2 linked regions of the Caenorhabditis elegans genome follow. The protein of the gene in region 2 interacts with the protein of the main gene of each other region in a pairwise test. Each region holds a gene or a part of one and is shown on either strand. Other genes may lie near its edges.

The links.
Region 1: the proteins of egl-44 (region 2) and egl-46 interact in a two-hybrid assay, tested with the Caenorhabditis elegans proteins (2 studies listed by BioGRID).

What each region holds. Positions count from the first base shown.
Region 1 is NC_003283.11:6,679,293-6,696,306, reverse strand, and holds the start of egl-46 (Transcription factor egl-46), read left to right. Parts: upstream 1-14,733; 5' UTR 14,734-14,739; coding exon 14,740-14,991; intron 14,992-15,212; coding exon 15,213-15,365; intron 15,366-15,412; exon of another isoform or gene 15,413-15,621; intron 15,622-15,685; coding exon 15,686-15,763; intron 15,764-15,844; coding exon 15,845-16,006; intron 16,007-16,434; coding exon 16,435-16,650; 3' UTR 16,651-17,014. Other genes in the region: W02F12.2 (Alkaline ceramidase), read left to right, coding at 1-131, 178-290, 681-877; W02F12.8 (Metallothionein), read left to right, coding at 1,646-1,661, 3,836-3,954; mtl-1 (Metallothionein-1), read left to right, coding at 4,475-4,490, 4,611-4,822; K11G9.5 (Major facilitator superfamily (MFS) profile domain-containing protein), read left to right, coding at 7,822-7,974, 8,025-8,149, 8,349-8,454, 8,523-8,666, 8,715-8,906, 9,076-9,284, 9,337-9,528, 9,571-9,724 and 1 more. UniProt on the Caenorhabditis elegans protein: Transcription factor. Represses expression of genes involved in differentiation of touch receptor neurons (TRN), probably acting as a heterodimer with egl-44, perhaps by occupying similar cis-regulatory elements as an unc-86/mec-3 heterodimer.
Region 2 is NC_003280.10:5,923,749-5,940,762, reverse strand, and holds egl-44 (TEA domain-containing protein), read right to left. Parts: upstream 7,227-17,014; coding exon 7,182-7,226; intron 4,323-7,181; coding exon 4,279-4,322; intron 4,192-4,278; coding exon 4,098-4,191; intron 3,847-4,097; exon of another isoform or gene 3,826-3,846; intron 3,717-3,825; exon of another isoform or gene 3,711-3,716; coding exon 3,512-3,710; intron 2,227-3,511; coding exon 2,078-2,226; intron 2,026-2,077; coding exon 1,842-2,025; intron 1,786-1,841; coding exon 1,410-1,785; intron 1,354-1,409; coding exon 1,245-1,353; intron 1,195-1,244; coding exon 1,042-1,194; intron 664-1,041; coding exon 535-663; downstream 1-534. Other genes in the region: vrk-1 (Serine/threonine-protein kinase VRK1), read right to left, coding at 16,305-16,388, 16,740-16,855, 16,910-17,014. UniProt on the Caenorhabditis elegans protein: Transcription factor. Binds to DNA sequence motif 5'-CATNNNNAAATGCAT-3' as a heterodimer with egl-46.

The sequences.
Region 1 (17,014 bases), on a different chromosome or scaffold from region 2:
GTCCGATGGGTTGTTCTAATTGTAACAGCTCTCGTATCTGGTCTCTGCTTCCTTGAACCAAATCTCAATGCAATCGCTTTGATGCTGTTTTCCATTCCAGCTGCTGTAGTGATAAACTATGAAGGAAAACAGTAAGATTTCAAATTTGACTGTTTGAATGAAAATAAAAATTTTCAGGTCTGGAATCCCAGACATCGAGTCATTTCCAAGTCGAATTCTTGCACTTTGGGGAGTTGCATTTTCCTTCTGGTTTGCTGATCGTCTTCTCTGCGATTTTTGGCTTTATTTGGGTGAGTGATTGGTATACTGAATTTTTTGAAAAAAACTGAGGTACTTCACATTTAATAAGACCAAATTTCAAATATCTAGTGATAAGTTGTTTCAAATATTGGGCAGTATCTACTGTTAGTTTCAAATGCTAGTTGAATAATATAAATCTTTCTTTTCCAATAAAAAACGTTAAATTTGTTCGATTTTGAGAACTATTTCGCATTGTTTTACCTAGAAAAGTTTTGCTCCAGTGAACTTAGCTTCAACAAACTTTTTTCAAAACTTCGGTTAAAGGTTCGCAAGATAACCTTTGTAATGATCGGGCAAAGATAGTAAAATTAAATATACAGTTTTTCAAAACCAATTTTGCAATTCAGTGTTAGGTAAGTTTTTGCAATTGATGTTTCCAGGAACCCCATACCTCCATGCTCTGTTCCATTTGCTCGCCGGACTTGCCGGCTACACAATTTTCATCATGTTCTCGATGATTGATATTGAGAGCAGAACGAAAACTCACAAATACACAGCCGCAGTCCGTTATTTTCCGGGCAAGAACGGCTCGATCTTCTCGTTCCCGTACATTTCGCTCAAAGAACGTTCTCAGTGAGTATATATGGCATATCCCTCTGTTAGAATTCCATCAAACTAACGGAGGGAAAATTGTATTTGTAACGCATTCTACACAGGAAGAAAAATGCATGCCTGTGTACCTACAAGAGTGCCTGGTAGGCATTATTGAGCCTGCGTAGAAGCCTTAGTCTATGCCCTTTTAGTTTTATCCATGTACTGTCCAGTTTTTGTTTTGTGTCGTTTGTGCAATGTATTTGTGAACGTGAATCTGTGTTGATAAATGGTTTTTTGTGATATATTTTTTAAAATATACTGTTTCTAAAATCTTTAAAATTTTTCAGCAAAGTAGCAGTGCCAGTTTTTGATACAAATGGAAACTCAACAACTGTCACGGATGATATCCCAACTTGATAGTTTTTTATTAGATAATAGTTAAAAATTCATTTTATAATGTTTTATAATTTTTTTCCCAATGTTTTTACAAAAGCTCTTTAGCTTTAATTCCTCACATTTCGTTTCCATTTCTCATTTCTTCCCGTTGTCTGTCTATAGAGTTTTTTTGACCAGTTGTTTTTCTCCAAATTGCCATAAATAAGTCAACAAGTGTTTTGTTTTATAGAGAGTATCTAGATCAAACCATGAAACTTATAACTAATTGCATGGGAAGATTCAGAGATTCAGAGAAGGTGAGAAATAGAATAAGATCTTGTTTTCCTCAAGTCCAAGCAATCCAAAACTTGTTCAGTCAATCCTATTCAACGAATCCTTCATTTCACATCTATATTTGCTTTCGATTCATACCGTCATGCCGTGTCCATGTGGTCAGTTTTTATGCCTAAATACTTGTATTATATTAGGAGTTTATCTATGACAGACCAGGTGTTTTTAGTTAGTTTAAAAATTTGTTTTTTAAACTTAAAATTGAAATATTCAAATTAAAATAGTAAGGAAAAGTGAGAAAATTGTGAAATTGTAACAATAAATTCAGTGATAATAGAGATTCTTTCAATTTTTTAATTCTACAAAATTTCACAAACAAAAGCCTCGAATTTATTGAATTTGTATAGGGCACTTCAGTTTGTCAGGTACGTCTTCAGGCGAACATGCCTGTCTTCCCACATATTTTTAAATTTTAATTGGAACAGTGTAAAATCTTACAGTTTTCAGTTTCTCATAGGTAAGTTGCTCTGAAAAACATTCAGAAACAAATGTTGTGCCTCAGCAATGATTTTGAATAATTTCATAATCTAAAAATATAGAGTCAAGTAAAAAAAAACATGAAAATGAAAAATAATTCAAACCTTAAAATAACAAAGAAATATTTCAAATCCAGCAATCTTTCTAAATTACTATTTTGTAATTTTTTCATGAAAATATAAAACGAAAATTATAATTTCTTGGCAAATGCTCTTTTACTACCTCATCTTTTACTACGTTGCTCTTTTACTACGGTTTACTCTTTTACTACGGCCGTATTTTTTACTACGTTTTCCAATTTCGATCTTTTACTACAATTTGTATCTTTTACTACGGCCGTATTTTTTACTACGTTTTCCAATTTCGATCTTTTGCTACAGTTTGTATCTTTTACTACGATTAACGATTTTTTACGGCCTAATGAAAAAAAAAAGAATATCAAAAGTTGGAATTTGAAAGTTACCTTGTAGCAGATTTCAGGTATAATTACAATTTCATTCTGAAATCAACATGAAAGTTTCATAGTTGTGTTCTTTTTCCAACTTTTGAAATATACTACTGTCTGAGCGGTTTTTAACTGAATCCGACGATATCATAACGGGAAAATGAAATTTATGAAAATTTTCCAAACAAAACTATTTTGAAACTTTATTAAGCACTAATCAGTTATTGTAGAAAAATTCTAAACCTGTTGTTTTTGAAAACATTCATGTCAACTTTGTAATTTGGCATAATATTAAGAAACTCGGCAAGTAGGGCTCTATATACTCACATATCTTTTCGGGCAGAGGGAATGTGAAAAATTGATCAATCGCAAACTTGTAAGCTTAAGATAAGGAACACTTTTCCCGTGCAAACTATTTGAAAAAAAAATCTGAATGGATCCAGATTCGAACCAGCAATGACTCTACTGAAGAGCGCGCGCTTTACCACTTCTCCAAACAGGCGAGTGGCGGCCGCGGTTCCAAGGTATATGTGAAACCAACCGAGCTGTACGAAGTAGGAAGCTTCCATTACTTTTTCAGATATTTAGTTCTGAAAACTTTGTTAACTCTCCTTATCAACAACTAAATGGCCCTTTTTGTAGTTATTTCTACTGGAAAAAAATGTGCCTGTAAATAATATCCTGTTTATAAACGTTGTTGTCCAGTGAAAACATTCCCTTGACCTGAAATTTATCGATAAAAGATAAATTTATCTTGAAAACTACTTTTTCGAGTGTATTTTTAAACATTCTACAAATTCCACTTAATAGCAGGTCGGGAACTTCGGCGATTCCTCGAATAAGCTATTTTCAAAAAAAAAATTAGGCCCAAAATTTGTTTCTGAAAAACGACCCCAATCTTGTATTTTCCAGTAATAAATACAATCTGAATTTTTTTCGAAATTATTTTTCGCATCGAAATTGGAAAACGTAGTAAAAAATACGGCCGTAGTAAAAGAGTAAACCGTAGTAAAAGAGCAACGTAGTAAAAGATGAGGTAGTAAAAGAGCATTTGCCTAATTTCTTTTATTTTTCACATTATATGTCCAGTTAAAAAAAAAGAACTCTGAGAAATAAATTTTGAAAATCAGGTAAAAAAAGTTAGATGTTTCAGACGTCACCTTGTTGTTAATATGGTCTCTCATATGATTGGTGACATCAGAATTTTTAACTTGGAATTGAACATTTTAATTCTTGATTTATTATTTTCAAGATTTAATTTTAAGTTTTAAAAATAGATTTTTTTTTCAAAAAAAAAACAAGGTTGTAAAAATTGTTAAAACTGGAAACATCTTTTAGCTATTTTTATTTTAGCCTGCAAGAATTGCTCCTGTGGAGAAACGTGTAAGTGTACCGTCGAAAAATGTTGCTGCGAGGAAGAGAAAAAATCGTGCTGTGAAGGAAAAACCGAGAAGACTGAGCAAAAGAAATAACCAATGAGCAAGTGAACTTTTCCCACGTCTACTACTAAATTATTGTCGATCTATAATTCTTTCGCTTATCAATCTTGTCAATTGAAATAAAACAATATTTTTCTAATTCTTTTTGGAACGAACACACGTGTTTAAATGAATGTTGTGCTAAAAACGTCACATCAATGGTACGTGAATGTTGCAAACACCTTGTCAATAACTGATAAAATCAGAAACTAGAGCTGTGACTGAATCGTATACTAGAACGGAGTCTCTCTAAAAACGTTCTAAAAACAAACAAAAAATTGTGCAAAGGATTAGAGTGCTCAAGATCAATGAGCAAACTCACAATCAACTATCTGTTATTGTTTTGGGTCTCTTCTATATCTCTATTCTTTTAGTATCATAAGTTTGTACATTGTGACAGGGCCACCCTCTTTTATCACATATTTGAAGTGGTAAACAGCCAGCAAAAACCAAATAAAAAGGCAGTGAGAAAAAGAAGAAGGCAGCTCAATTTGACTGCTGAAATTAAGAAATCATGGCTTGCAAGTGTGGTGAGTTAATCTATACTTTATAGATTTCAAAAACAATTGTGACACGTTTAAAATGGTTTTGAGAATAGCAGGCAAATCAACAAGCTTTCTAAATTTTTCTTAAAGTCAAAACTTTTCCAGACTGCAAAAACAAGCAATGCAAGTGCGGAGACAAATGTGAATGCAGTGGAGACAAGTGTTGTGAGAAGTACTGCTGTGAGGAGGCCAGTGAGAAAAAATGCTGTCCAGCTGGATGTAAGGGAGACTGCAAGTGTGCAAACTGTCATTGTGCAGAGCAGAAGCAGTGCGGAGACAAGACCCATCAACACCAGGGAACTGCTGCGGCTCATTAAAATGTTTCAGAGTTGAATCTGAAAATACCACAATTCCTACTAAACTGTGAACATCCTACTAAATTGTAATTACCTCCGAGATTTATGTAAACTAATAAATGTGTATATTACTTGTATCTGCCAAATCAAAAAATTATAATTTAATTGAATCAGGATAAATGCATGTGATGAAAGTTTATGCTTTCAGACAACTTTCTTATAAATAAATACATTTCGTTAAAGATTACGAGCAACTTCTTTAAAGGCAAAATTTTCAAAGTTAAAAAAACTGCCTCAGGTTGTGCCTACGTTTAACCGAAGTTTTATCCAACTCTTGCCAAACTCTTACTCAAGATTAAACTGACATAATAAAGGTTTTGGTCAGATTTGTGATGAGATTTGGCGAAATCCTTAAAGTATTACTAAACTTTTGCCAAATTTAAATACAAGATGATTATTGGGCAAGATCTGACAGTCCTATAAGTATTAGGTATAACTTTCAGTGAATCAAGTTCTAATTATGCAAGATTATTCATTGTATTATTATATTATAAATTCATATATTAGAATTATCAACAATAGACAGTTTTTTTATAAGATAAAAAGAACCTAGCGAAAAATTCGAAAAAGAGCACGATAAGTTTCGAAAAAAACACAGCACAAATCTTTTTTTTTGATAAATGGTTGAAAAGTCTGAGTTCCGTTTTTTCAAAGAAAATTAAAATGTTTAAAAAAATGTTCGTTTTTAAGAGCTTTTAAAAGTTGTTTTACAGTTTTCCGGTCCCCAATTATTCCGTCAATTCATAGTTGGACAATCGCTTGAAACGACGAACATCGAAATATATTCAATTGGGTTAACCCCGACTATGAAACCCTGTAAAAATAAAAAAACCAACAGAAACATATTGATGATTCATAATTGAACAACTTTTAAAAATCATAATGTCCGATTGTCATAAAAATGCTGAATTGCCTGTTCAAAAACCGCATTGAATGTTTGATTTCAAATTGTTTATTTAGAAAGAAAAATCAAAAAGTACAGACTGTTAAAATAACAGAACATCACCAAAAACAATGATAGAAAAGGAAGAGTTTTGTATCAACGGAACAAACAGATTAGTGTCGCTCACGACACTGGTCACTCATCGTTTTTCTGACCTTTCCGTTCCAGAAGACCTTCATTTTTCGATTCTGATTTGTAATCCCAGTTCGCCAAACTTTATGATCTACGACGCCGTGATTTTTTCGCGCAGTAGTTATCATTGATTTGTGATTGGGTCGATTGGGGACTTGTTCTTTACAAATTGTCATGTAATCAAAAAAATGAATGATAGAAGGGTAGGTGGAGACAAAGAATATGCGAGACAGGTCAAAAAATTATTAGATCTTTTGTGTTGACTTGACTCGTAATTTTAAAAGACTTGTCAACTTTAACTTGAATTCTAAAAGCTAAATTTGTTTTAACACTTTTCGGCTTTAGATAGTACCTTTTCATGACAATGTATTTTACCAACTATAATATTTTGAATACCACCTCCCTGATATTTTAATAAATTTAAATTTGAGTTACATCAACTGATGACAAAATTTCAAAGATTGAGTCTTATCCAATGTTTCCATTTTCACTACTTTATTGGTGGCATTTTTATTGAAGCATTTATATATTTTTAACCATATTATTGAACACGGATTAGCCAATCTAACTAAATTGATTTTTTCCGGATTTCTGACCATCCGATTCCTATTTTTGTGTTATGTATTATACGATGGTTTTTTTCAAACAATTTCATAAGTTTTCTTTTTCAAAAAACATCGAAATTTGAAAACTATGAACGCTCAAAAACCGGAAGTCCGGTTTGCCACCCATATATCCAACAAATATATTTTTTCTGTTTTCAATAATGTTTAAAACTCACTTTAAAGTCATTGACATATATTTCAGTAATCATTGCTCACATATAAGTTCGGCTGGCTGAATATTTTATGTTCGTTACACCAAATTGATCAAAAAAATATTAAAACTTCTCACCAACAAAACAGTTAATCTAACTGTGATCCAATCCAATAAACACGTCTCGTTCTTCAGTAGAGGGATCACACAGTTTCAAACATTCACCTCGTAATACTCAAAACGTTCACTTTTGATGACAATTGCCACCGAATTTTTTTTTGGCTTTTTGAACTTTTAAATGAAGTCTGAAAATGTTCACTTTCAAACCGAAATTTTCAAGATTAAAAATATAAACGTAATTTCCAATTTCCCCATTTCCGTTTCCATATTCAAATCTCTACGTCATTTTGTGTTCTAACTTTGTTTCACTGGTTCTAGTCAATGGTGCACTTCCAATTAGTGAACATCTCATTATCAGTAGACAAAAAAACATCATTAGATTTTTGAGTCTCTTCTTAAAAATCGTTTTCTGTCTATTTATCTTTGCTTGGTTAGTCCCCTTCTTTCTGTTCAATATGAGTTCTTCTTATTTCTAATTTTGTCGTTTTTAAATTTCATATGATAAATTTTCCTTTAACATCCTATTTGCAAGAAGTTGTAATTGTTTTTACTCAACTAAACAAAATATTCCAAATACAGTAAGTTTTTTAAGATAAATAATAAACTAATCAGCTAAAAATTGGCTTCAAAATATTCCAAAATACGCCGAATATTCTCGATTTGTCTTCCTATAAAGTAACTGTATATAAAATCTCCACAAGTGACAGTGCACTTGTATTTTTCATTCTCAAAATTATTTTTAAATTCTCTATTTTTTGGAAAAATATTTGACAAATGTATTATACCTGTGTCTCAAGAAAAGCCCAAAGAACAACAATTAGATCTTTTTGAACTTTTCCTCCTCTTTTTTCCATGTTTAGTCTCCATGTGTTCTTTTTCTCTCCCACATTTCTCACCTAACCTGACTCATCTCTCCACCCCTTTTTCTACATATTTTGCATTTGATGACTATTTTTTCGATACATATAAACGATTCGATCCATTCATTTTATATCAATTCAGTGCAACAATGAGCATAATCTCAAACAAGTACAGAGTTCTTGTTGTATTTATTGGATTTTTATGCCTGGTTTCCGTTTGCTCCAATTATGTGGTTATGAACTTTACATTTATTTGCATGAAAAATGATATGAGCTTTACAAGAGATGATCGGGGAAATGAGGTGAGTATTTTGTTAGCGATTAAATTTTTGAAAAAGTTGAAAGCTTCCAGACCTCCCCAGTCAGTTTATTCGATTACACGCCCAACGAGAAAAAATACATAATGTGGGCTGTTGCTGCGGGTACAATTATTGGAACTTTTCCGGTAAACTACGTGTTTGTCCGGTTTGGAGGAAGGTAAATCTATTGGAAATTGCATACCGTAACAATAGTTTGGAATACATAAATTTCGTTAGGTTGTTGGGTGAAAAAGTATGAAAGAATTTCCTAGATTTTTTCCCATTAAATAATTTAGGGCAAAGTAGGCTCCAAAATAAAGTTCTTTATGCTTTAGAAAAAAAAATAAGATTAAGCATTATTTTTTTATGTTCTTTAGGTGGACATTCTTCTTAGCTGGAGTCATCTCGGTCATCGCTACAACATTGATCCCACTGGCCGCGCAGACGTCGTTTCACGCACTTCTTGCCGCGCGGTTTTGTCAGGTTTGTGTTGTTTTCTTGTGAATCACTTTTGATGATATGATAAGCTTTGTGACCTCCAATCTTTGCAGGGACTTGCATTTGCGGCAGACTTTGCGGCGATTGGCTTGTTAACTGTCAGATGGGCCCCACTATCTGAAACTGCAATTTTTCTTGGTGCACTTACTTCGTTTACCAATTTCTCATCGGTTTTAACAAATGCAGTGTCTGGAGCGGTAATTCTCAATAACTTAAGAGTTTGTTCAAGTTTATAATATGTTCAGATATGTGAAGGATTTGGTTGGAGGACCGCTTTCTACGCACATGCCGTAATGGGATCAGTTTTCTTCATACTTTGGGCTATTGTGTACAATGATGATCCAGAAAAGAAAGTTTCCGCTGATGAGCTGAGGAAAATTCGAAAAAACAAGTCGGAACAGCATTTGAAAACTAAAAATGTTGAAGTACCGTACAGGGTTAGTTTTCAAAATAAAATGAGCTCAAAAAACCCAAAAACGCTTCTGTAAATTCGAAACCGGAAATAATTTGAAAATTTTCACTTACTTCTATTATATAACGACATAAATCTAGAATATTTAAAATACATTAGTTGTTTTTATCATAAAATAAACCATTCGATTCCAGAAACTTCTTACATCTCCAATTGTTCTTTGCGTTTGGTTGAATGCGTTCGCCGAAATGTCGATCATTGTATTCTTGCACACCTACGCACCAATATTCTTCAATCGAATTTTAAAGTTCAGTGTCGCTCAAACTGGATTCCTTCTTGCACTTTCAGTATTCATTCCACTTCCATTAAAACTTGTTGGTGGAATTATCAGTGACAAGGCGAAGTAAGTTATTCGAACTTTGAGGTCATGCATCACAAATCTGTTTTCTTGCCAGATGTTTCTCGGAACGCGGAAAAATGTTGTTCTTCAATACGATTTCAGTAGGACTCGTTGGTGTCTTGCTAGGATGTCTTGGGTTCATTCCTCAATCGTTGCACTATGTTTCAGTTGTTCTTTTTTCCGTGATCTTTTCATGTTTATGTCTGAACGTGGCAGGATTCTACAAATGTGCGACATTACACACTAGGTACCGCCAAACTTTGAAACTGGAATAATTTATTTTTCACAGACAATTCGCTCACGTCGTTATTTCTACAATTCAATGGATGAAATCAGTGGCGCTAATCACTGGACCAGCTCTAGTTGCAGCTATTGTAAAAAATGAAGAAAGTGTTGGTCAGTGGAGAACAGTTTTGTGCATTCTTGGAGGTATTATGTTTGTGGTGAGTTTCAGCAATAAATATTTTGAAAATAATGACATTCAAAAAAAGTTGACAATAGTTCGTTTTTTTAATTCAAATTAATGGCATGGTTCGGTAACAATTGAAAAATTTCTGCAAAAGGGTTTGTATCATATTGCAAAAATTTTCCGAAGGTCCTTATTCAAAGCAAAATTTTAGAAGAAGTAAGTAGCTAGCGTAGTTTGAGTAGCCAGTAACCAGTAGCCAGTGGAGAAATTTATGAAAGCCACTCCCGTGGTGCCAAAATGACCAAATATCATAGTAAAACATATTTTTTGAAAATTTTATTTTGTTCAAAAAGTGGTAATTTATTACTCAGTTTTTGCCACTTTTTCGGAATATTGAAAACATTTTAAATGCAAAACTTTCACCTTTCAATGTCATCTTTGTAGGATAAAACACTATCTTTCAGGCAAACATCCTTGCTCTTTGTGTGTTTACTGACAAACCAGCGGAATATACAATGGCAGATGCTAATGAAAAAACTGTCAAATATGAGGTGAACGCTGAGGAGCCTTGATGATTTTTGCCAGAAATGTTACGCTCAATTTCATTTTGTTTTACTTCTATTGATCGCAAGTTGTCCCATTTCTACATTTATTCTTTAATCTGTCATCTCATTGTTGTCCTATTTCAGAGTCAATTTTCAGACTCAAACCATCCTGAATTTCACTTAATTCCCAACTGATTACGTGTATCTACTGCCCGTTTGTTCCCTACTGCATTCCAATTTTTGCAATGAACACATTATTGGTTCGAGCACATCTCTCTTGATGCATAAACGTGTCCATCTGCCCGTTCGGCCACTAAAACATCTGCTTTTCGACTCCTAGTGCCTTTCGTACCCGCTCAATTCACCATACCATGACATTTGCATGTCTTCTCTTCTCTTTTCATTTTACTCCCCCCTCTCATTTGGACATTCGGACACACTACCACAAACTGTCCCTCTCTATTGAAATGCGGCAAGCACAGGAAACACGGTCGTAAAAAAGCATAGACGCTCTGCGAAAGCTATGAACACATACATATCTTCGAGTCATTTGAACGTTCATGGTGCTTTCGCAAATTATATAGAAATTTATGGGTTATGGGAAAGGAGTACTTGTAAAATAGTGAAGAATTATCTTAAACAAGACACAAAAACTAGAAATAAGGAGCATGTTTAAAGTGTTAAAAATCAGCTTGGGGAACAATTTTCGACAGTCATATACACTAGATACTGATAGTAGGATAACTTTCATTATATTTTCAGAGTCATCCGAAATGCGATCTCGGGGATCTGCAAAAAAATCTTGGCCGTCTTGGTTGCATTCAGATTTATATAAATTTATTAATAAACAATTTTTCTCAACTTGATGTTATCATTACTCTGAAAATTGTGCAATGAGCTGGAAGAATTGGGAAAGCTGAAACAAAAAAATCTTAAAATTTTCATCATTTGTTGTCTGAAACTGTTGCGGTTTCCAAGTCGAACTTTTCAAACCACACAACTTCCTATAAAGTACCCAAAAGTCGTCACCCTATAGTACTTTCAAACTTACAAATTTCAGTTACCCTTACATGAAATGTGATATTTTTATCCATTCCCAAATGAGCTCAACACCGGAAGTTTTGTCATTATACAATGTCTGACCCAGTTTGTCCGGTCATTCATCCACGTATTACGAACACCTGTCCTCCATTGCTCCAATGTGTATCAGTCTCGTGTGTTTGACCCATAACACGTCCACTTATCCTTAGCCCACTTAATTACCTCACCATAATACCAATGCATGGCACCAATGAATTGGATTGTAATTACACGAGAGAGGCATTTAGTTTCGCGCACTGTTCGGCCGGCCGGAGCAGGTGGCGTCTTCCAATGACCCGGTCACACTTATCCTTTCCAGATGTTTTCCTTCCGTTTTTGGTCACCCCTTCAGTCTTCTCACTATTGAAATCCGCCTTCGGAACGTTCGCCTCTCGGATTTGGCATTAAATGGCAGCTCAGTTCACGCCAGATGCAAGATGAAATGAAAAGTGCGCGAGACGTCGGTCGGACATAGTTCTTTAATCCGAACTAATTGGTTGATGGTATCTATCTACACCTTGTGAAAGGGTACTTTATTAGATTTGAGAATTATGAAATTTGTGTCTTCAATGAACAAAAGATTCAGGAATACACGGGGAAGCCGATTTTGGTGTGAATTCGATGGGAGGTTGAATGGTAACAAGATTAAGATTTGAAGAACATTGTTTGCAAAATGCGTGATTCAAGATTTGAAATTTGAATATTTCCTTTACTGTGATTTTTGAAATTTCGACAAGACCGAAAAAAAATGTAAAGGTGTACTGTAGTGTCATTATAGCTCAATATAGAATCTAGGTCATTTTGAGGTGAGAATCTCAATCTGAAACCCAGGAGTGTAAAACTTCATTATCTGTTTTCCCAAACGCTGAGTTTACAATCAAACTCACCGCCCTTATTGGTAAATTTCTACCGTTCCCGAGCTAATTTAAAATCACCGAACGTATTCCCTTGTTCAATTCAATACTATAAAATTCAATCCCAACAGAAGGTAGTGGTGATGTTTACCAGACAGGTTGTTGGGGGCGACATGTAACAATATTATAAGCTAGAACATGTCACCCATATATCTCGGTGCCAATTTTGTCATCTATTATTCATTGTTTGTCTCCCCGGGTACGCATGTATGTGTGTCAGCAGGTCCCTCTCTACCCAAAAGCTCTTCAATGCACAAACACACCTCTATTCCAGAGGATTTTTGATTGACACTTCATTTCGGTGCTCTCGGTGCTCTCAAATGCATTTAAAATCGGGAAATCGTGTTGCAGATTGTTGTTTACTTCTTTACTCACTTTATCTTCTAACACGCTTTGATCCCCATGGGTTTACCGTAATTGGATGGATGAAAAGATTGACCCGGACAAGCCGGGACAGGAGCATCTGCTCCCACCTCGGATAACCCTCACTTTTCGCAGTCCTAATTGGCATGTTACAAATTCTCGAACAGGTGTCGATTTCCGTGAGGAGGCGGAAGATGAACGATGATGGGTACCAGGACCCATCGATTTGTTATTTTTGTGACGACAGACCCAACGACAGATGCAAGTAGTACAGTATATGCAAATCGAAATGATACGGCTGTTTGCCAAGGGCACGTACAGATGGTCTGCCTGCTGCATGGGCACAACATCTAGACTGATTGATTATCTTTTAGGTATTCACGAACATGCGACTAATTGGGCCATAAGCATGCAGCTGACAGACGGTAGATGAATTAATGTTGCGGACTTTTAGGTAATAAATTACTGATAAATATACCCTCAGCTTGAGATAAATTATTTTGGATATAGGGCTAGCTCTTGCAACTTTGTATATTCTCACAATAATATTCCAAATGTGGCCAAAATTGAGGTCTCTAGGTAGTACATTTATCGTCGTACAGTTTGATTTTCTGTACAGATTAAAAATTTAACCACGATTCAAACTCAAACTATTTCGTATGCTTCTGCTCAATGCTAAGATAACTGATTATGGCATTCACAACACAATGCACATATTCCCTCACTTCAGTCTTTGCTCAAATTCAACTTTGCGAGGCACCCATCAAAAAACCTGTTCATCAAAGAGTCCCATCATCTCGCCAAACGTTTCCATAGCAACAAATCGGAACACTAAACGCGCGCCTGGCACGGTCACTGTCGGTGTCATCAACCCATGGCACTGCGTTCCTTTTTTAATGCACTGCTCACTTTTTAATTTATGCTCATCTTCTCTTCCGTGAGCACTTCTAAACGCGGCTCGTCCCAAGAGACACCAGGAGACACCTGCCCGTGTTGCTACCAAATATGGAAAAGTGATTGACTTGGAAGAGGAGATGTGCTACAAGTGGTAAACAATTTGGGCGATTGAAAGTATAAAAGAAAGAGGAGGTGGAATAAACGTCCGCTAATTGACGCCTTCTTATTACGCGTGGAATTATACAACTGTTCGTAACACATATTGTTCGCCAATTAGGCGAGTACACCTGGTTTACAGGCAAAATAAGATTTATGGGAGCAAGGATAATTGTAGATCATAAAAATACATACCGTTATAAAATTACTGATATTTGTATCAAATATATTTGTACAGACTTATAGACTCTTTAGATTCTTTCCAGTGATTCTCTGAATTTAAAATATTATTTTTGCGGCAGTGGGGAAATTGTTAAAAACCACTCTTATGGTGCCAAAATTAGCAGATATTATAGTGCAACTTTTCAATTTTTTTTTGTTGTTTTTTTCACTTTTTGGAAGTCGTCGATCAAAAACAATTATACCTTCGAATTTTATAGTTTACTTATGTTTAAAATTAATATTTATCAAGCACTGAGAGGAATTCGAACATGCGGCATTGCTATAGTTTTCTCGAAAAGTGGCAAAAACTTAGTAATTGCCACTTTTCAAATGCCAATAAAAATTTCATTGATAAAATCTCAATCCAAAGAATTTCTGTGGAAGGAAAAATTCAACAGTGAACACAAATAAAATTTCACAATAGGTTACGAAATGCCCAATTTCAAGCTATTGAGAATTCATCAGTTGTTTTACTGAGATTTTCCCTTTTTCTTCTATCCCTCAAAAGTTACACAACTCAAAAATCGAATTTCTAGATTTCGTCACTCATCTATCAAATTTACCCATTGACAATCTTTATTTTTGACGAAAAAAACATTGAAATTTCCAATTTCACAAAATCTCGACCCAATTTCCATGTTAATTGCTCACTCGCTCCCCTTCTTGTAAGGTGTCTTCGGGGCGGAGACTCGGGAGCAGCAGCTGCCAGCCTTGTGCCTTCTCCCATATAAAAGGAGGTTAGTGTGTACGTGCCACGGTCAATTGAGGACACCAGACGGTCAGAGTCAGACACCTTTTCTTTTTTCGTTCACATCTACCGTAACCCATATCTTTTTTCGATCCATTTTATATCGTTTTGATTTCAGAAGGCCATGGTGCCTATGAATGACTTTTGGGTCAAAGCAATATTATCATCGACGAATCCGAGTCCAGTGCCGTCTACAACATCTACCGTATCCAATGATGAAAATTTGGATAAAACGTTGGACTTTGACTGTTCCACGCAAACAGTGTTCCCTACACTTCCAATGTTCTGGAACCCAACGCTAGTTCAACAGATGCTTGCGCTCTACCAGATCCAGCAGCAGCAAATTCAGTTCAGCGCGAAGCTGGCACCTCAACCGGTTAGTGATAGGTGTGTCTTATCTAGACATTGATACCTTTTTTCTTAATTGAAAGATCAAAAATTTATACCAACTTCTACCTGTTCTACTGATGACTATAGGGGAATGTGATTTTCACTGCAAATAAGGCGATCATAGTATTCATAATAAGTTCTCCAGATCACTTGACACTATTATGTTCTTGAGGTATCTAAAAATGTGTTCTAAAAAATTGTTTTCAGCTTTTCCAAGAACCGACCATCCAAAAAGAGTTTCTCCCATTCCCCCATCAATCTCGAAAACGTCCTCTACCGATAGACCCGAAAAAGACAAAGCTTCGAAAACTGAATGAAGACACTGTGACCAGTTCTCCAGTCAGCGGTATGTTCATAAAGGTGAGTAAAGCTATCGGCTCTTTCTAAGCTTCTCCTTCTTTCCTCTATGAGCAAAAACAATTCGGCACCGATTGTCTTAATTAGACGTGATTAGCATATGAGAGCTTTTGAAAACGAAGGCACATAAGAGGTGCCGGAAAGCGGTGCGGCGCAGAAAAAAGAAGGAGCAAAAGCTTGGGTTAATTACCACCCGCTGACCAGCGACCGTCTGCCACTTTTGTCTTGCGGCATTCTCTGACAACCGTCTCAGATTGAGCGCTCGCTTGATTTATTGCTAATGACACCGAGAAAACGAACGGATAATAATATTTTTGTTGCAGGAGGAGGCGGATGTGAAATCTGTGGAGGAGCTCCAAAAAGAAGCTGATTTGCTCGATGAGACAGCAGCATATGTAGAGGTTGGTTAGATTTGTTTAATTGAGATTCAACAATTACCGGATTCAAATTAACAAATTCCAAGCATATTGTTTTCATTCCAGGTCACCGAGGAGTCAAGACAAAAGATTGACGAGATTCCAAATGTCATTGGAGACTGTATCTGCCGGCTGTGCAAGGTGAAATACGAGGACGTGTTCAAGCTGGCACAACACAAATGTCCAAGAATTGCTCACGAGGAATACAAATGTCCGGATTGTGACAAGGTTTGTTGATTCTTTGGATTATTGCTTCTGATCAGAAGTTCTAGATAACAGGAAGCAAATTTACTTCAGACTACAAAACTTTCAAGAATTCTGATAGATTAGTCATAGAACCCAAAAACGAAAGGTTGAATACTATAGTACTCCTATACTCATTACTCCCACCTGTCAAGCTCATCTATATCACTTACTTGACTACCCTTGTATCGTCATAAGAGTCAGCAAACCATCTTAATCCCTCTCGCCACTTGACAAAACAGTAATCCAGTGCTCTTCACGAGTCGGGTTCCCTTGGCTTTTTCTATTTATCGACACCCCCTGCTGCGAGCCGGCTTCTTTCAGTACCAACCAGCTGGTCCATGATTCTCAGCTTTCTCTCTCCCTCTATCTGTTCTTTACAAACAAACACACAATTTGCTCCATTTTTGCAGGTGTTCTCATGTCCGGCCAATTTGGCATCACATCGTCGTTGGCACAAACCCCGTAATGAGCTCGGTGGCTCTCCACCCGCACAATCCTCAACAATTGTCTCCTGCTCCACCTGCTTCAACTCATTTCCAACAAAGAAGATGCTCAAGCTGCACTCGTCGACGTGTCAAAGATCGCCTCTTCAGGATTTGCTCTCAAGAGTTATTCCAACAATGTAATCACACTTTTCGACTACCTAACTCTTTACAATTTCCCCCGGTCAACCAACTATCCACTGTATATCTCCCGAGTTGACCTCATTTCTTTATCCTTTTTTGGCTTTCCAAATGATCTCCCATTTTATATACCTAATAGTCTATTTTTCTGATCTTGTCACTGATCTCCTTTTCCAAATTGCTGAGTGAATTCTAGTCATGCCATAAGATTTTTTTTGCGTCATTTCGCAGTATTATTTTGAATATCCGCAGTTCAAGCATTTATCAAGTACTTCACATACATTCCAGAGCGTCGCCTCACTGTATTTTTTTTTGCTGAAAGTGAATCTAGTCAATTTTCACCTTTTCATTTTTTCTTTGTTTGTTT
Region 2 (17,014 bases):
AAAATAGAATACAGAAAATGAAACAAAACACACCTAAGAGCCTAACAGAACTGAATCAAATCGGAAACTTGGGTTGAAAAAATCGAGAATTGAGATTTTGTGGAAGGTGTGGAGAAGAGGTTGCAAGTATTGGGGGGAACTGAATCTGAAAGGGAGAAGTGTGGGGATGAATGTGAGGGATTAGAAATTAAAGAACAACTCGTACTAGACACTGTAGACTTTTTGATGGATTCTGTGAATTTCCAAGAAATATGAGAAGCTCGACGAGTTTTCTTCTGGTTGCACATGATGAGACGAAAAAAAGTACAAAAATAAATCACGGGAAATTGGGTTTTGAGTATTCAGGTAAACATGGAGAAAATAAGAAAATGGGAATGACTGGAACATATTATTATTATTTTTCAAATGAAATTCAAATGAATTCGTGTGACCGATTTTTGAAGAGAAGGAGAAAACGAAGAAAAGGAATGAATGAGTGTATAAATTAAGAAAAAAACAAAAAATATGGCAGTGTGGGAAGAGATTTTTCAAAATTCATTCATCAGAATCGCCTCCTCCATCGATTAGCCTGTAGACAGAACATGATGGCTCTGGTTCTTGTGATACTTCAAATACAAAACAGAGAACCATTAATAATTCATCAGTTTCGCTGTTTGTGACAATCTGAAAATTATTATGCTTTTCATTATGTGTACTTTCCAGTTTTTCCTCAGTTTTTTTTTGTTAAATTAGAACCCCGTATTCCTTTTCTTTAAAACCCCAGAATGTGTTAGAAAACTAATTAAAAAATTATAACACTGTTCAAACATTGTTCAGAATTTTAAGCTTTCAGTCGGAGAACATTTTTGAAAGCGACTTAAAAAGTATATTATTCATTAATGTGCATATTATTTATTCAATTCTAATGAAACAAATGAAACTTTTCAAAATTTTCTAGAGCTATTTTTCAACTTTGATTTAAGTTTTTGTGAATTTTTAGAGGTGGAGAAATGGCCGCTGACAAACTCTCTGAATAGGTTAAATATTTTCAAATATTCTTACCTGTAAAACTGTAAAATTCTCCAGCACGTTGTTCATTGTTTCTATTACATTCAGCTTCTTCAGCTCGGCAATGAACTTAACCATATAGTCACACATTGGGGAGTTGTTCAATATGAACGAATATGATCCATCGAATTCGATTGGGAAGTATTGCTGAAAAATCAACCGATTGTACATTGCCGCTTAGCTCATAATATTCGTACCTCTATTTTTTCAACTGCCTGGTTTCCAAATGAGCAAGCCATTGTTGAGACCTTTAATTGGAATTTTTCACGACTTGAGTAGAACGAGTCGACTGCGTATTGACAGTTTCTAAAAGGTTTTCTTTGAGTCAAAACTAATTATCAATCACATTCAATATAACTTACTGTACATCATCCGAAACATTAATATTTGCCCAACACTTTGCAAGGAAGAAGACATCCTTTTTCTCGGATTTCTCGAACAATTCTCGAAGTAATTTCGGATATTTTTCGTAAAATACAGAAATGTCAATATCATCTTTTTCCAGTGTATTCTCAATCTTCACGAGTTCTGTCCTTAAACTTGTCTTATTACATTTGACATATGCGGAGAAGCTGTGAAGTGTTAATTGTGAAGAAGCGATTGGTTTCGTTTCTTCTACAACTTCTGATTTCACAGGTGAAACTGTTTTGTCGGGAGAGGATTGTTGGAAAACAAGTTGTGATAGATCCATTCCGATAGGTAATCCAGGAGTTTGTTGGAATGACCACAAAGGAAGAGCTGGAAACATGAGAAAATTAGTTTGATGCAATAATTGTATCGCATAAAAAACTAACATTTAAATAGTTGTTGGGAGATTTGATCGGTTTCCACTTTTGGCACAATTGATGAGTAGCTACTTTGTGGAGAAATTTCAGTGATTGCAGCGACAGCTGCGGAAACAGGCGGAAATACTACAGCTGATGGAGATTTAACTCCTCCTGGAGGTGAAGCTTGTTGAAGAAGACTGGGAATATCACCCTGAAAAGTTTTCAATATGAATTTCAGTTAGACATATAGTAAATTAAACTACCGTATTCAGATGAAAAGGTACCTTCTTTTTTGCTTGTTCGTCTCTGAGCTTTTTCCTAGCAAGTACTTGAATATGTGATGACACTTGTTTCCGAGTCCTCGTTTTTCCACATCGCAATTTGATATACCTAGCGATTAGTTCGTTCCTTCCTGAAAATATATATACATATAAAATTCAAACAAGTAAATGAATGTTGCTCATAATGAAATCAGAATGTGGGAGGAGGAAGAAATAATCAGGTAACGAACAGGTGAAAAATTCAGGTCTGACGATGGAATAACTAAAATAAGGGTGACGTCGACTTGAAAGATTCTATGTTAAAAAAAGATTTCACGAATCAAAGTGGAAATTGTTAAAATTTAAGATTAAATTCTGTATTTTTCTATAGGACTATTATTTAATTGGCTAGACTAATAGGGAGATCAAGATTATTTTTAAAAAATACTGTATTGAAAACTTGAACCCTCTTAATTATATTTGCGTATCAATTATCACCCCACCCAAATTTATCACATAAATTAAGTGAGTAAAGACTATGGAATTTTCTCTGATAACATTATGTTTTCCGGTAATTTTTACGAAATAAAAGCGGATCAAACTGATAACCGTAGTAACGGGCATTGTTAAGAAGTCTAACAAAATTGCTGTTCTACAGTAGTCTCAAAACAGCGTCTGTGTAACTTTTAGTTGTCATCATTGTGGAAAAAGGTTTCTTTTTTTTTGAAAATCAAACAAATGTGCAAACTCTTTTTGTTTGTTACTGCCGGGCACTGCGCAGACAGTATTCGTGTTTTATGACGTGGCAGAGCACAAAGTCCAGCGAGAGCAGTTACAGACACGCTACGTTTCTGATATTCCTCAATATTTATAATTCTGATAATTTTAGTTTTTATTTTAAAATTTCCAGAGGTTTTTCTATTTTAAAATAAAATTTGAAATCTAATTTCAATTTTAAATTTTAAATACTTTAACCGACAGCTGAAAACGTGATACTTTGGGATACTTCGGTAACCCCCTAATCACATTTTCCTAACAAACTATGTTCCAACATCTAATCTAACGATTTGTTGATTTTGGTTGCGCGGGAGGGTCAAAAAGTCAAGACTTAGAGAGAGAAAGAGCCGCCCGTGGTTTCCCGCAGCGAAAATAAACAAATACAAGGAATATGGAGAAGTGGCACGGAAAGGATGGAAAGATGGTCTCTACTAATCCCGTAGTACCTTCTACTCTCTTCTTTTGTCGGTTTCTGTCTGCCGGTTCAATCCGTTTACATCATAATAATAATAAATATTAGAAAGAAAAGTCAAATGGAAAAGAAGTTTCTATCCCATGGATATGGGCAGATGTTCAATGAAGGCAGATGCACAGTAATGTGAATGTATTCATTCTTCTACCACTTGTATGACTCCAATTATGTATAGACAGTTCACTCACCATACATTTTCCCTTCGTCACTGATGATAATTTTCCTTCGTCCACAAGGTGGATAGATGGCTAACGCTTCTTGAAATGCTTGATCAATGTCTATACTCCACACACCTTCCGCGTCACCAGACAAGTCGGAAAGGGAAGAAGTCGATTCGGGAGCCATTGAGCCAGCGGAACCTGGTCCGTCACCGGCGGGAGGGGAGAGCTGAAATCCATGTTTTAGGATAAAGAAGTGTCTGATTGGGAATTTGAAGCTGGTATCAGAAGGGGTTGAAACTTGAGCTCAAAGAACGCTAAAAGGCTTCAAACTTGAGCAATGAGGTGCAAGACAATTAGATGAAATACTGTATGTATATTCCAATTCTAAAATATAAGATTTGAAATAGTTTTTGTTTTGAAAAGTATTTCAGATATTTTGCAAAATCAATCACTGTTCTCTAGTTTTCACTTATGATTTTTTTTTAAATCATATTTTAATGGCATAAATTTCTAGCTTTTAAAAATTGTGATAAACTTTTTTTTCATCAAAAGATTTTAAGTCAATAAAATCTCAATGGGAAGAACTCGAAAAAAAAATTGTTTTATCACAAACCGTCATCATTTGTCCGCCAGAGGTCGTCGTGGGCGTTGTCGTTCCTGCTGCTCCAGCGAGCCACTCTTTTCGAAAATGATTATGGGGCGGGGTTCTGCAATGATGGGACACTTTAGTTCTATTCATCTATTCATATTCTGACACCTTCTGACTCCGCCCTGCCCAACAAAATTCAACTTACCCATTGAGAATTGTTTGCGCCGTGACTGCTACGTCTTCCGACATCTGAAATGCAAAAAAGTTGAACGAAATCTACCGTAATCCATCAAAAAAGTGAATGGCAGGCAAGAGAAGATATGGAAAAAATCTTGAGCTAAAAGAGTTTAGTTTTTCGGTTTTCACCCCGTGTTCGGTATCTAAAATTACGATCTCTAACTGAAGAGCATAGACCTTAGAGATTGAGAGCTTTTGCTTAAAAGATGAGAAAAATGTGATAATGTCTAAAGTGTGACGTGGCATTTATGTCCGGGGTACTGAAAGTTTGGTCATGTGATAGGTAGAGAAGAGGAATAGGCACGTAAAAGGAAATTGATAAGAAGACAGGTAACTGTTGTGCGTTTTTTTTCTGTGGGAGCAGAAAAAAACGGACAAAATCAAATCAACAAGGAGGAAAAATCGATGATTGTGAATGCTGAATCATCATCAATGCTTAATGCAATTGCAGAAAAAACGTCTGAACTGAAAAATGTATGTTCGTGGTTTTCAGGGTGGGAAAAGAAAGAGAAAAGAAAAGACCAACGTCTTCATTGTTTCATTTCAGACGGTCATGTCAAATGTGAAATAAAATAAATAATTGGAATATGCAGAAGAAATGTAGAAGCTGAGGTCATTTGTTTTTTGTAGAGGTTGTTGTCATGGCAACCAATTTTGTAAGATTTTTCAGAATTGTTACTCAGTTATCTTTTGAAAACAGTTTAAAAAATATTTTTTCAAATTTTGAATTTCCATAAATCAATCTTTGTCGATGAAAACAATTATGGCGGAATTTTTCCATTTATTCCGGATTTTAAAGCAATTTTTTCAAGCCGAATTTTCTAGATTTTTTGAAAAATATTTTTGAGATCTAACTTGTTAAATCCAACTCAACATTGGAAGTTTCTGTTAAAATTTTTCAAACTAGCGAACGCAGACGGTTTCGCATTTTTCCAACACGCTTTTTTTTTGTTAAACAAATAAACCAGACTAAACAAGGAAAACCTCGAAGATGGATGGCAGGTGGGAAAGGGACTAATGGAATAATTAGTGATACTTAATGAACACATAGGAGATATGATGGAATCAGGAAATAAAGTAGAAAAAAAATGATAGACACTTTCAAGAAGGAGATGAAGAAAAGAAATAAGAGAAGCGTTAAGGATGACGCATCGGATCGTCCAGATCGACAAACGAAAAGAGATGAGAAAAAGATAAAAGAGACGGAGGAAAACGAATGGAAAATGATGAAGAAGGAACGGCGGGTTGGAAGTATGGATTCAGAGAAAAGAGAGTGATCAGTACCGTGAAGTCGTTATAATCATGTTGTAGACTTAACTTCTAAAAGAGATTATCCTAAAAAGAATTGAGGGCAAACTGTATTTTGGGCAGGTAGTCTAGGTTGGTAAAATTATTTGGTGCATTATGAGCTTTGACATTTTTATATTGTTTTCTATTTCATAATAGGTAAAGTAATTAATCAGTGTTTTTTTTTAATTTAAAAATTTCACTGAAACCTCATCAATCAACATAATGTACATTAATTAAAAACTCCGTTTTAAACAAGTGGCGATTTCTCTATTTTTGCAATCCACAATTTTGTAAGTCGGCCGAAAAATAATTAATTTTTACTACAAATTATATGATTTAATTATGTATTTCAATATTGTAGAAGAGCAAACATGTGGTATTTTTCTAAATTTTTTAAAATACTAAAGTTTTGTTTAAAAATTTGGAGCAATTCCGACTTTTATTTGCAATAAAACAGTATCAAAACTTCGAAAACAACTTTCTCAAAAATATGTATAAAATTTTTTAACTAAAAAAATATTAACACATTTGGAAATAAATATTCACTTGCAGTAAAATAAAATTTACTACCAACCATCTGCAAGCAACTTATTATAATATTTACAAATCTGCTCTTATGGGAATACTACTACTAATTATGCAAATATTCCGAGATTGGTTCAAAAAACATGTCAACTCGAGATCTATGTCATCTCATTTTGATTGACTATCCCTGGTTGCTTCTTCCTAGGTTAATTACTCCTGCTTTTGCATTCGGAGGTCTTTTTACTGTTGTCAGTTATTCAAATTAGGTTGAGATTTGAGAATATTGAGTCATTGGATACAGAGAAAATAGAGAATTGTTTGAAGGGATGCTTCAGGAAGAAAAGAGTCATGAAGGCGGAAAGAAAACAAGGTGGATATATGATGATAGGAGACAGCCAGCTGTTCAACTAATCGATAAAGTGATAAGAACCTCGAGACTTAGAGTGTCATAGGGAACTCTGTCTATCATTTCATGTTATTCGAGACAAGAAACTAGGCGATCTACACAACAGTGATATTGCGCCAAAAGACAGTCTCTTACTTCTTCCCCCAATATGGTGACCTTCTCGACGAAACAGTACAGGACTACGACGACGAACCCAGCCACCTTGACAGATATTACCGAAAAAAGTAATCAAAAGCGAAAGATAGTGTGGATGTGGAGGAGTGTGTGGGGCGCTAATTCGGATAAATTGGTAATTGGAGGAGTATGGTTAGTTATCTGAACAAGGACAAATGGGACACCTCATTTACGGTTTGTGGTTTTTTTTCAGTTAAGTGCTGACAAAAACAAAGAAAATATTTACATATTTTTCAAGTTTTTATTTTCTAAATACATACAAATTTCACTTTAAGTTGTTTTTGCAACTAAAACCTTATTTCAAAAAAAAAATCAAACTTCCTATCAAATCAATAGAACCAGTTTGTTCATGTGACATATTGTCACGTTCTATAGGTAAACTGCAACGTGGAATATAAAAACTTCTAGAATCGGCTGACTAAGACATCGTGCTTTTCATCAGAATATTTGAATGAAAACAGGTTAAAATATATCACCTGCGGCAGCGCTTGTTGCAACTCTGAACAAAACATTGAGTTCATAATCTTTGAAATAAGAACTGGGTACGCGAGGGAATACGGTAGTCTGGAAAAGTATATAATGCATTCTACAAATATGTACAACAAGGAATTACCGGTAAAATCGAAGAAGAATAGAGACGGGGCACGAATCGAGGAAATAATGGAATGGTATGCTGGAGAAAAGGGGGGAAGTGAAGAAATGCAGATGGCAGTCCCTTCTACGGTCAATCCACCCCTCGCGCTCCCGGTTGGGGACACAAACGGACAGATGGTTTTCTAATGGAGTGGATATTTGTGAAGAGTGTATAAAATGAGGAGAGCTCAGAATATGCAATGGTAGAGCACATACTTGTGTATGTGCATAGGCAGGCATACAATCTATCACATTACTGTATTACCCACAACGAAGCCTGCGGGCGTTCAATTGGTTCTTTAATCAACGGAATGAGGTGAGAAGAGAGAGGGAGGAAATTGGGGATAAGCATGAAGAAGGTAAAGAGGATATATTACACAATTATAATTGCACAATATAATCGCTTCCATGGAGGTATATTCAAATTCTGAATTTTTTGTCGCGGTAAAGAGTTTTGGTAAATTCCCAAATTGATGTTTACAATTTCTCCACTCAATTTCACCTCTTCACCAAAACCGAAATCTAGACTACTTTAGAGAAAACCAACATGCTCATAATTATGTTAATTCTGCTCTGAAATAAATTATCAAATTATGCAGTCCGCAAAAAAGTCTGCTGCAAATATATATTTTTACTGGTGCAATACATACAACCCTATCAATTTTTTCAAGTTATGGAACAACTGCAAAAAAATTTTGTAAAGTAAAATACATTTACTTCACTTTTTCAGACTAGCTAATTTATCAATAAATATTAAATTGACAAAAGATCAGAATTTAAATCCAGACTCATCAATCGTCGACACCTTTCCATTATCTCTCATCAATTCAGGTCATCACGCGGTCGGATGCTTCTTTCTCTCTTATCACTAGTTCTCTAATTTTCAAATCAATCCACGTCAAAGAAATGACGTCTTGTCGTCTCGAGATGCGAACTCTATTATTTTCTCACTTTTTGCTGATGCTCCATTTGTTTTTTTTTTCAGACAAAAAATACTCTAGCGAAAACAACAAACATATTAATTGAAAGTGTAAAGGAGGAAAACACAAGATAACATAAACCATTCATACTGTAACTAATCCAATTTGGTAATAAGGTAGAAGTAGAAGTACTTCAAACCATTTCCTATCATCATGCCATTAGAAGAATAAGACGAAGACGTCAAGAATCAAGTGGTGACTAATATTAAGTGATGACGTCATACATATCCTTCATATTCAATGGAGCACGTTTGATAAAATGGATTTTCAAAATTATGGTAGTGATAAGAAAATGGAAAGAGACGGAGAGAAGAAAACGGGAGAAACGTAAGAAAAAGACAGTAAAAAAGTCATGTTCGTGTCAATCATGTGCACACTTCTCTAGGTTAAACATTATTTCCGTCTGGGAAAATATAGATTTTAGGGTTAAAACAATTGGTGTAGATGTTGTAAGTTCAAACTAAAAATATAAATGTGAGGTTTGAAACAAAATCATAATAAAAATTAGAAATTATATGTTGGAGAAATAAGGTTTAGAAAAGCTTTCAGCTTGAAAATTGGAAGCAGTCAGTCTACCATAGCCAATCTTTCTTGGCATAATGCTAAATCATATACTTCGAAAAATTCAAGAGTAATGCATGCGTATGGTATACCTACACACTTTCAATTTTTCTTTTTTTTACATTCTGGAGTGAGCGAGGAGATCCGGAGTTTTTACAAATAATTAAGTTGTAGCGCATTTACATTTAGATGTGTTAGCTTAAACTTTGAAAAAATTATTTAGGCCCGAGGTAATTGATAAAAACTGATATGCTTTTAGATTTTCAGAAAATAAATTGAAAAGATAGAATGGATGTTGGAACAAAATGATCTAGATTGGCGGTGCTCAAGTTGGCCATCAACGGAAAGCTGCTGCAGGATGGCGCAAGTTCACTTCACTAGAAAAGGCAACAGTGTGCTCTCGGAGCGGAGCCAAGGGCATGTTGTCTCATTTTGGGAACTGTTGGTAGGTTAAAGAGTGAGCGGAGGAAAATAGTGTCTAAAGTCAAGACCTCCCCGAGAAAAGAAGACGACGATTGTGTATGTTTTGTGAAACACTCTCTGCATCTACCTCTCTCACACATTTGCCTGTCCCCGGGAGCGTGTCAGCCTTTGAGAAAGAGTGGCAACCGATCAAGAGACTTAGACATAGTCACCCACAGTTTCTTCTTCCTTCCCGTAGTCTCGAAACCCGTTTTGTTCATTTCATTTGTTGCTGACTGACTGCCTGGGTTGGACGACTTTTACAAAAGAGAGGAACACTTGTTGGCTCTTCTTGAGAACAGGTGATTTGCCTGTTTCATCGAGAAAAAAGCTTGAAGGTTGAATGAAAATGTAGGTTACATGATCAAGCAGATGCCGAGAAACCTTGAAAGGAGCCAAGGTAAAGAAGATTCTGTGGTTAGGTGGATGAGCTATAATTAAGTAACGGGACCGCACCTCAATGCGAACAGAAGGGGGTCACAAACATTCAGCTTACAGTTGTGGTAATTCGAGTGAATTTTTATTATTAGAAATGTGATAAGTATTAAGTTACAGTAATACCAGAAAAAAGTGCAACCTAAAACATAGGAGTTGCTGTTATTACGCAAGCTTAAAAAATGACTGAAAGGAGTTCAAAGTAGCTGATTAAACAGTGAAGTTCAAGTTTTTTAAGACTCAAGAGCATCATAAATTTCAGTGCCAACTATGCCAATCCTTCAATTTTTGAAGAATCGAATAATTCTAGAAAACGTTAAAAGCATCAGATGTCTCTTAGTGCCTTCTTTTCTGTTGTTTCTTATTGCTTTGAAGTGACATTCGATTGTCAAATGACTCATAAAAGTCGTGTGGCAGGGGGAAAAGGAGGAGAATTGAATGTTTCCAATCGTTCGCACCATCACAAAAACGTGTGCATGTGTGTGTAAAAACATATGAAAATAATAATAAAAAAGTTGAAGGGTAGCGAAGTCAGAGGGAACTCCTATCAGTTGCACTGTTCATATTTGATAGCGAGTCATAGTACTTGAAATTTCAAAAATTATGAAATTAACAGTTTTACATAAGAAACAGGAAACAGGAACACCATAACTATTGTAGAAAAGAGAAATAGAGATGATGATGAAGCTAACGGAGATAAGAGTATTTGTTTCTCTCTCTCTCTTTCTTTTACTCTACGTGCAGTCCGTGTGCCTTTCCAAATCGAAACGATTATGTGTTGGAAGAGAGTGTAAGAAAAAGAGCAGGTAAAATTGTGACAGAGTCAAAAGTCAAGAAAGTTATGCATTTCAAAAAAGAAGAGTGACCATCTGTCGTTTGAAAACTTTTGGTCATAGGTATTCAGTGTCAGAAAACGGAAAATCTATTTCGGGAATAACAGACAGAAATATATTTGATCATCAGAAAATTTAAACGGCCTGAAGGATAAGCATGGAGATCAGAAATATTCGAATTTCAGAAACGCCACAAATCTAAAACGAAAACGATTGAGGAAGACTGAAAGATCACTCTGAAAAACGTGATCGAATCAGACCAGGTAGGAAGTAGCTGATTTAAGATTTACATTGTTCATTCAATAATAGCAAGTCTGACCAAAAGGATTCTGAGATTGGGGTCTACTTCATTTTATTAAAATCATTTCCAAATTCTGAGCTATAATTTCCCTTCTATAATAAGGAATCGGAGTTGCAATCTATATTCCAATGATATTTAAAATTCACACCTGGCCCAATAACTCGAAAATCGATGGGTTATTCAGAAATTGAAAAGTGCAAGTTTTTTGAACTCTTGTTGTTAGTAGGTTCATCTCAGTTTGAGGTAAAATCATGTTAACTCGTCAAAAAGTCAGGGGAAAAATTAAAAGGAAGATGAAATTCGAGAAGAACAAATGACACTCGGTGAGCATACATCGTGCAAAACTGAGTAAGAAATGAGTAAGAAATCACATTAAGAAACCTTTGAAGATCTTTTGACCGTTTTCAAAAATCTATCAAACGCTATTTTGTTTCTCAATCGATTTCCCTCAAAATATGGCAACTTTTCACTTCTACATGAGCCTGGAGAAACAATCTGGTAACAACTACAGTAACCCTAAGATTTTTTTTCAGATAAATCTAGACTAGTATATTAGGTGACGGACCCCATCAATTCACAAACAGTCTGGAAATATATCAAAGGCTATGATATATATGTATATATAAGAAAATCCTTACTACAGGAAATGCCAAATCTAGTACCTCCTCCCGATTTCTCATGCATCTTTCAACAGTGTTTAAATTGTATAATTAGGTATTCATAGTTACATAGCTTTCCAATTTTCCCAGATTTTATTGAAAATAATTAGTCCCTTCTTTCCTCAATGATTCGATTCACTCTTCCGAAAATGTACACAAAGGAAGATGGGAAACGGTGGGAGCGGGGAGCTATTTAGGACAGGTGCATTTCTCATTTGGGGTCCCCTTCTCGTTTCAATTCTCACGTTAATTGAACCCTCTTCTGTCATTCAATTTTCTTTTTTTGTACAAAGAAAAATCTCACGAAAAGGAAAAGACTCACGAAAAGCTGGAATGGTAGTAAGTTTGGGAAGATGGATGACATGTTGAGTGGTATAACTTGAATCCAGTCTGGAAATGAAATATAGTTGAAAAGTAAAGAAAAGCGATATTTCAATGAAGAGAGAATAGGTGTGTCCAAAAAAATATGTATCGAATGCATAAAAAATCAGAAAATAGTGAGAGGCGGGTGGTCCTCCTCCGAAAAAGAGGTGAGAGCTTGAAAACACGTTATGCATATTCAAGAGACCGCCCTTCGAATCGACCACTCCGACTCCGCCCAATTTCCAGAAGAAGAAGAAGCTCATGAATTCAAGAATACGGTGGATGGATAAAATAGATACGGGGACTAGGTATCCGTGCTAAAGAATTTGAAAATTCCAAGATTTTATTCAAGGTACTTTTTTAAATCAAGATCGGAAATTAAATGTAGGAACACAGAGTTGAAGAGGATAGAATTTTAAATATGCAAAATGTACTTGAAAGAAATTTTACTACCTGAAAAAGTAGTTTGAACCGCAGGTGATTCATGAAAGTTCTCACTTTTGAAACAATTTTCTATAATATCAAAAATCATAAATTTTTCACATAAATTAGAGTTTGTGACAGAGAGGTTTTGTGTTTAAATTTTTAAAAATTATAATCCTTTATCCACCTGTAAATTCTATAAAACACAACTAGAGATAAAATCTTCCAGACAAATAGAAATACATAGGCTTGTTCTTCTCGTAACTCAGCCCAAGTGATAAATTTCTGTTCTTCGTGCTGACAGGAATCTGGAACTTCAGGTGGCATTATATCCACTTATTAACCAGGTAACAAAACTATTGCGTTCTCACCACACTGACAACAAAAATTTTGACGCTATCCCAACAAATTAAAAAAATTCTTAAATCCTATTTTTATTTAATTTTACAGATTATAATGCACATAAAAGGACAATAGCTACAGTAACTCGTTCGCAGCGTTGCGAGACCTAGATATGGCAAAAATACTGAACTATAAACGTTTGCGTTACCGTATATTCCCTATCAGTATGGCCCCCGTCACTCGACTTTGACCGTTTATATCTCGGTTGTCTTTGATCACTTTTTTTTCAATAACTCAAACGACAAAATTTGTTTCAAATCTATCGTTATGCTCTGGTATTTGAAAAAATCAAAAATCTTTTGAAACCGCTGAAATATAAGCCGAAAAAGTCGATTGGCGGAGGGCCATACTAATAGGGAATATACTTTATATGTTGTTAGGGACAACTTTTTAAAGTTGTACCTGGACAATACAATGTTTCACTTTTTCAGATCTACTTTAATTGGTTATTTTCTAAACTTGACACCTTTGGCACCTCGCACAAAATATTTTTCGTCACAGAATGCTCAAAGATCTTCCGCGAAAAAAAAACTTTGGAATGAGAAGCGTTCGTAGTGACGAGTGGGCGCAAGTGTTGCTGTGGAGCATGGTCCTTCCCGCTCTAATGGACTGGCACCGTCCGACTTTAGTAATAGAGTAGGCGTCGCCATAAGACGCAGAATGCACTTTGTGCCGCCCATCTCGTTTCATCGTTTGACCTACTCTATCATCACAACGGGACACACAAAGCTCTCAAAACGCGAAGCCCTATAATTTTCGAATGCGGTACATCTACCCAAAACCATTTGTGACACCACCGCGCTACGCGCCACCCCATTTCACAAAATTACATGCTCCCGGTGGATTACGGTAAGCGTTTTCCCTCGTTTTCCAAATCCTACAAAGATTATTTTAATAACGGGGAACATGTGCACAAATGCGAAACATGATACGAAAATGAAATTTTTTCGGCTGTGACGATTTGTTTTCGAAACGTTGTGTGTTGGCATGTACTGTATTGCACATTGAAGATTGACGGATAGATTGAGAGACGGTTCATTGTCAAAACATTTAGAAAATAAAAGAAATTGAAGAAACACGTAGGCATTCAACTTTTCGAAAATAGTACGGACTTTTTGAACTTTTTAATAGATCTTTTGGAAACTATTAAAATTATTATTTACTTGTGTCTTATTATTTTTGATATCTGCTTTCAGGTGTAATTTTTATTGGCTAATTGATTTCTAGACTGGAAAGTTACTGTCTAATATTCTAATTTAGCTATTTTTATAACTCAGAGATTTTTGGTTTGTAAATGTACAAGCACACTACTGTGATAATGTAATATGTTTGTTTCAAAATAATTTTGTAGAGTATCCATAATGGTATAGCGCAAACATTGAGAAACAACGAAATATTTTGATGGGGAAATATAATAAACTAGCCTGCAACGTAGGCGACCTAAGTCTGCCTCATGCCTACTCGTGAGCCTAATTCTAGAGTACACATGAACCTTTTTCCTCGTTTGAACGAACTATCAATGAATTATTCGAAATGATCAGTACTTAAACCAACACCTGAATATAAAAAACTTGGGTAGCAGGTAGGTATTAGTTAGGCACACCCGTCTGAAACATGGTACCTACCTATGAGAGATATTCTAAATGTAACAATAATATAACCCTCATAATCTTAAATGTTCTATTGATTGAATTTATTTTCTGTTTCTAGACTTGCATTCTAACACATTAAGTTTTCAATAAATATATTCCACAATATATTTAAAAAAAGAATCTCAAAATTGTAAAGCTCGTGGCAGAAAGAAATAGAAGAAGAATTCTTGAAAAAAATGGAATGATATTGTTTTAACGACAGATTTTTCGTCAAATTTATGATTGATTTCGGGCTTTTATTGATGATTGTATCTTGTTCGAAACTTTTCAATACATCGTATTCTTTTGAAGACAATTTAGATGTTTCATTTTATTGACTGAACTCCGAGAGAGTTGGGAGTTCAGCTCAACTCAGAAAACTACCGATTGACCATGATTTAAATTAAATAAATCTATAAAATCTGGGAAAAGGCGGAAATGTAGATATCTAAATTTGATCAAAATATTATTTTTATGCCTATTGTAAGTGTACTTACTATCTTAACTATCACTGGCCCTACAACATCTGTTTGAAAATCCTAGAAAGCCCGAAAATTATAATAAATAGCTGAACTAAATTTTTGAGGAATAAAACAAGATAATCTAATATGGTTTCAGTTTAAACATATTTGATTAAACTAGAAACAATTGAAACCCAGACATACCGTATACAGCCACCGCAATACTTGAACTTTGACAGATCACATCTCGGATACCTTTGGTTGCATAAAAAAGTTTATATCATTCAAATTTTCATTATAAGTTACTCTATTATTTTGTAGTCGAACTTTTTTATATTTTCAGAAGTAAGAGAGATACAGTCTTTTAAAATAGACCGCACACTGATAGAGGGAATACAAAATTCAAAATAAATTGCATTTTGAAACAAAGCGTCAAAATTGTCGGAATTGCCTTTACCTAGGTAAACTAACAGATGAAGTCAAAATATTTTTCGATTTCCAAAGAAAAAAGCAGACGGTTGATTGTCGAACGGAGGAGATAGAGAAGTGTTTCATCATTAGCCGGGTGGAACACTTTCTATGCTTCTCTGTGTCTCTACCATGTATTTGATATCTACAGTAATCAAATCATTGTCACTTCTTTTTTTCAGCAATCACTGTTTTGTTTTTTAGGGGACGAAGACGAACTGTCGGAAAACTGAGAAAAACGAAAATGGATAGCATTAAAAAACGATCAAATTCTCGTTTTTGTGTTCGTCACATTTTACACTTATAGGTGACTGTCTGGCAAGGATTGCCGGAGGACACCAACGATCATAAGTGCTAAACAAAAAAAAGTTGAATTTTCACAATGAGCCAAATATAAGTCTGAAACCAATCAGGTCAGCAGATCATCTGGACATTTTCAGCTGTCAACGGTTTCCACCCTCACATCGAAATACGTCAATCGGAAAAGAAGTCGTCGAAATGAGAGGGAACCGGAACAAAGAACCTGTTTCCCATTTTATTTCCAGCAGCACCCTTCTAAATTGTTAATTTCGTGATTAGTTCCTCTTAGGTTTCACCCACACCTACTCACAGTTCAGTTAAATTCATCAATTCAATCAGTAGTAATTTCACAAAATTTGAGAATGGGAAGTGAAAGGGGGATCAGAGAAGAGGGATCGTCGATAACAAAAAAAAGTGGAAAAGGGGAACTCGTCGCTGATGGACATCATGTCAGTGATGATAAGCCAAAAAAGGACGAAGAGATGGAGAAGGGATAAAAAACGATAGTACATCAAAACAGAATGATAAGTTGCAAAAAATTGGAGATCTAAAAACAATTAATGCCTGTTGAGAGCTCGAAACATATAATAATGAAAGAGACTGTAAGACAGGGAAAATAGACACGTTAGAGGAATCAATAGACGAAATTATGGGATGCAATGTGACTCGATTGAAGATTCCAATGGTTTACACTTCCGACGAGCAGCTCGAATCATCAAATGTTGGCTTTGTTTGACGAGAAGCAAGACGTTCTTTATACTTCGCACTGGTCTGAAACTCATTTATTAGATTTATTAGAATTGTTACTAGAAGAAAAAAATGTTTTCTAATTGATTATTTTATGACAGGGTTTTTGCAATTAGTATGACATTATTACTTTAGTAATCTGATAATAATATTATTTAAAGTTTTAAACGTATTCTAGGCGCTACATACAATTCTAGTTACTACATGCGATTTAATAGGCCATTTGGAAAAAAGAGACAATTTTGTTAACCTACAGTGAATAGCTATATTTACCTAGTTAACAAGTTTGAAAAGTAATTGAGGATTCATTACAGTAATTAGTATCAGGATTCATTTTTATAAAATGTTCATAACAAAAGTTCAATTCTATTCTACCTCTTTGATAATCATCGATCGTCTGCCTTTTGGAAAATTTCTGACGCCAGGAACTCTTCTCAACTCGGTTGGGCTTGCTTTTGTTGCTGAAGAAATTCCACTCTTTGTCTTCGCTTCTAAAATGTAGATGTATTTAATTTAATGCTTAAAATGAAAAAATGAGAACTCACTTTTAATAGCTGGAGTAATTAGCACTTGTGTCTTCAGAGTTATTCCTTCGCCAACATCTTCACTGGATTTTCTTTTGGATCTGAGACCAGACGAACTCGAAGGAG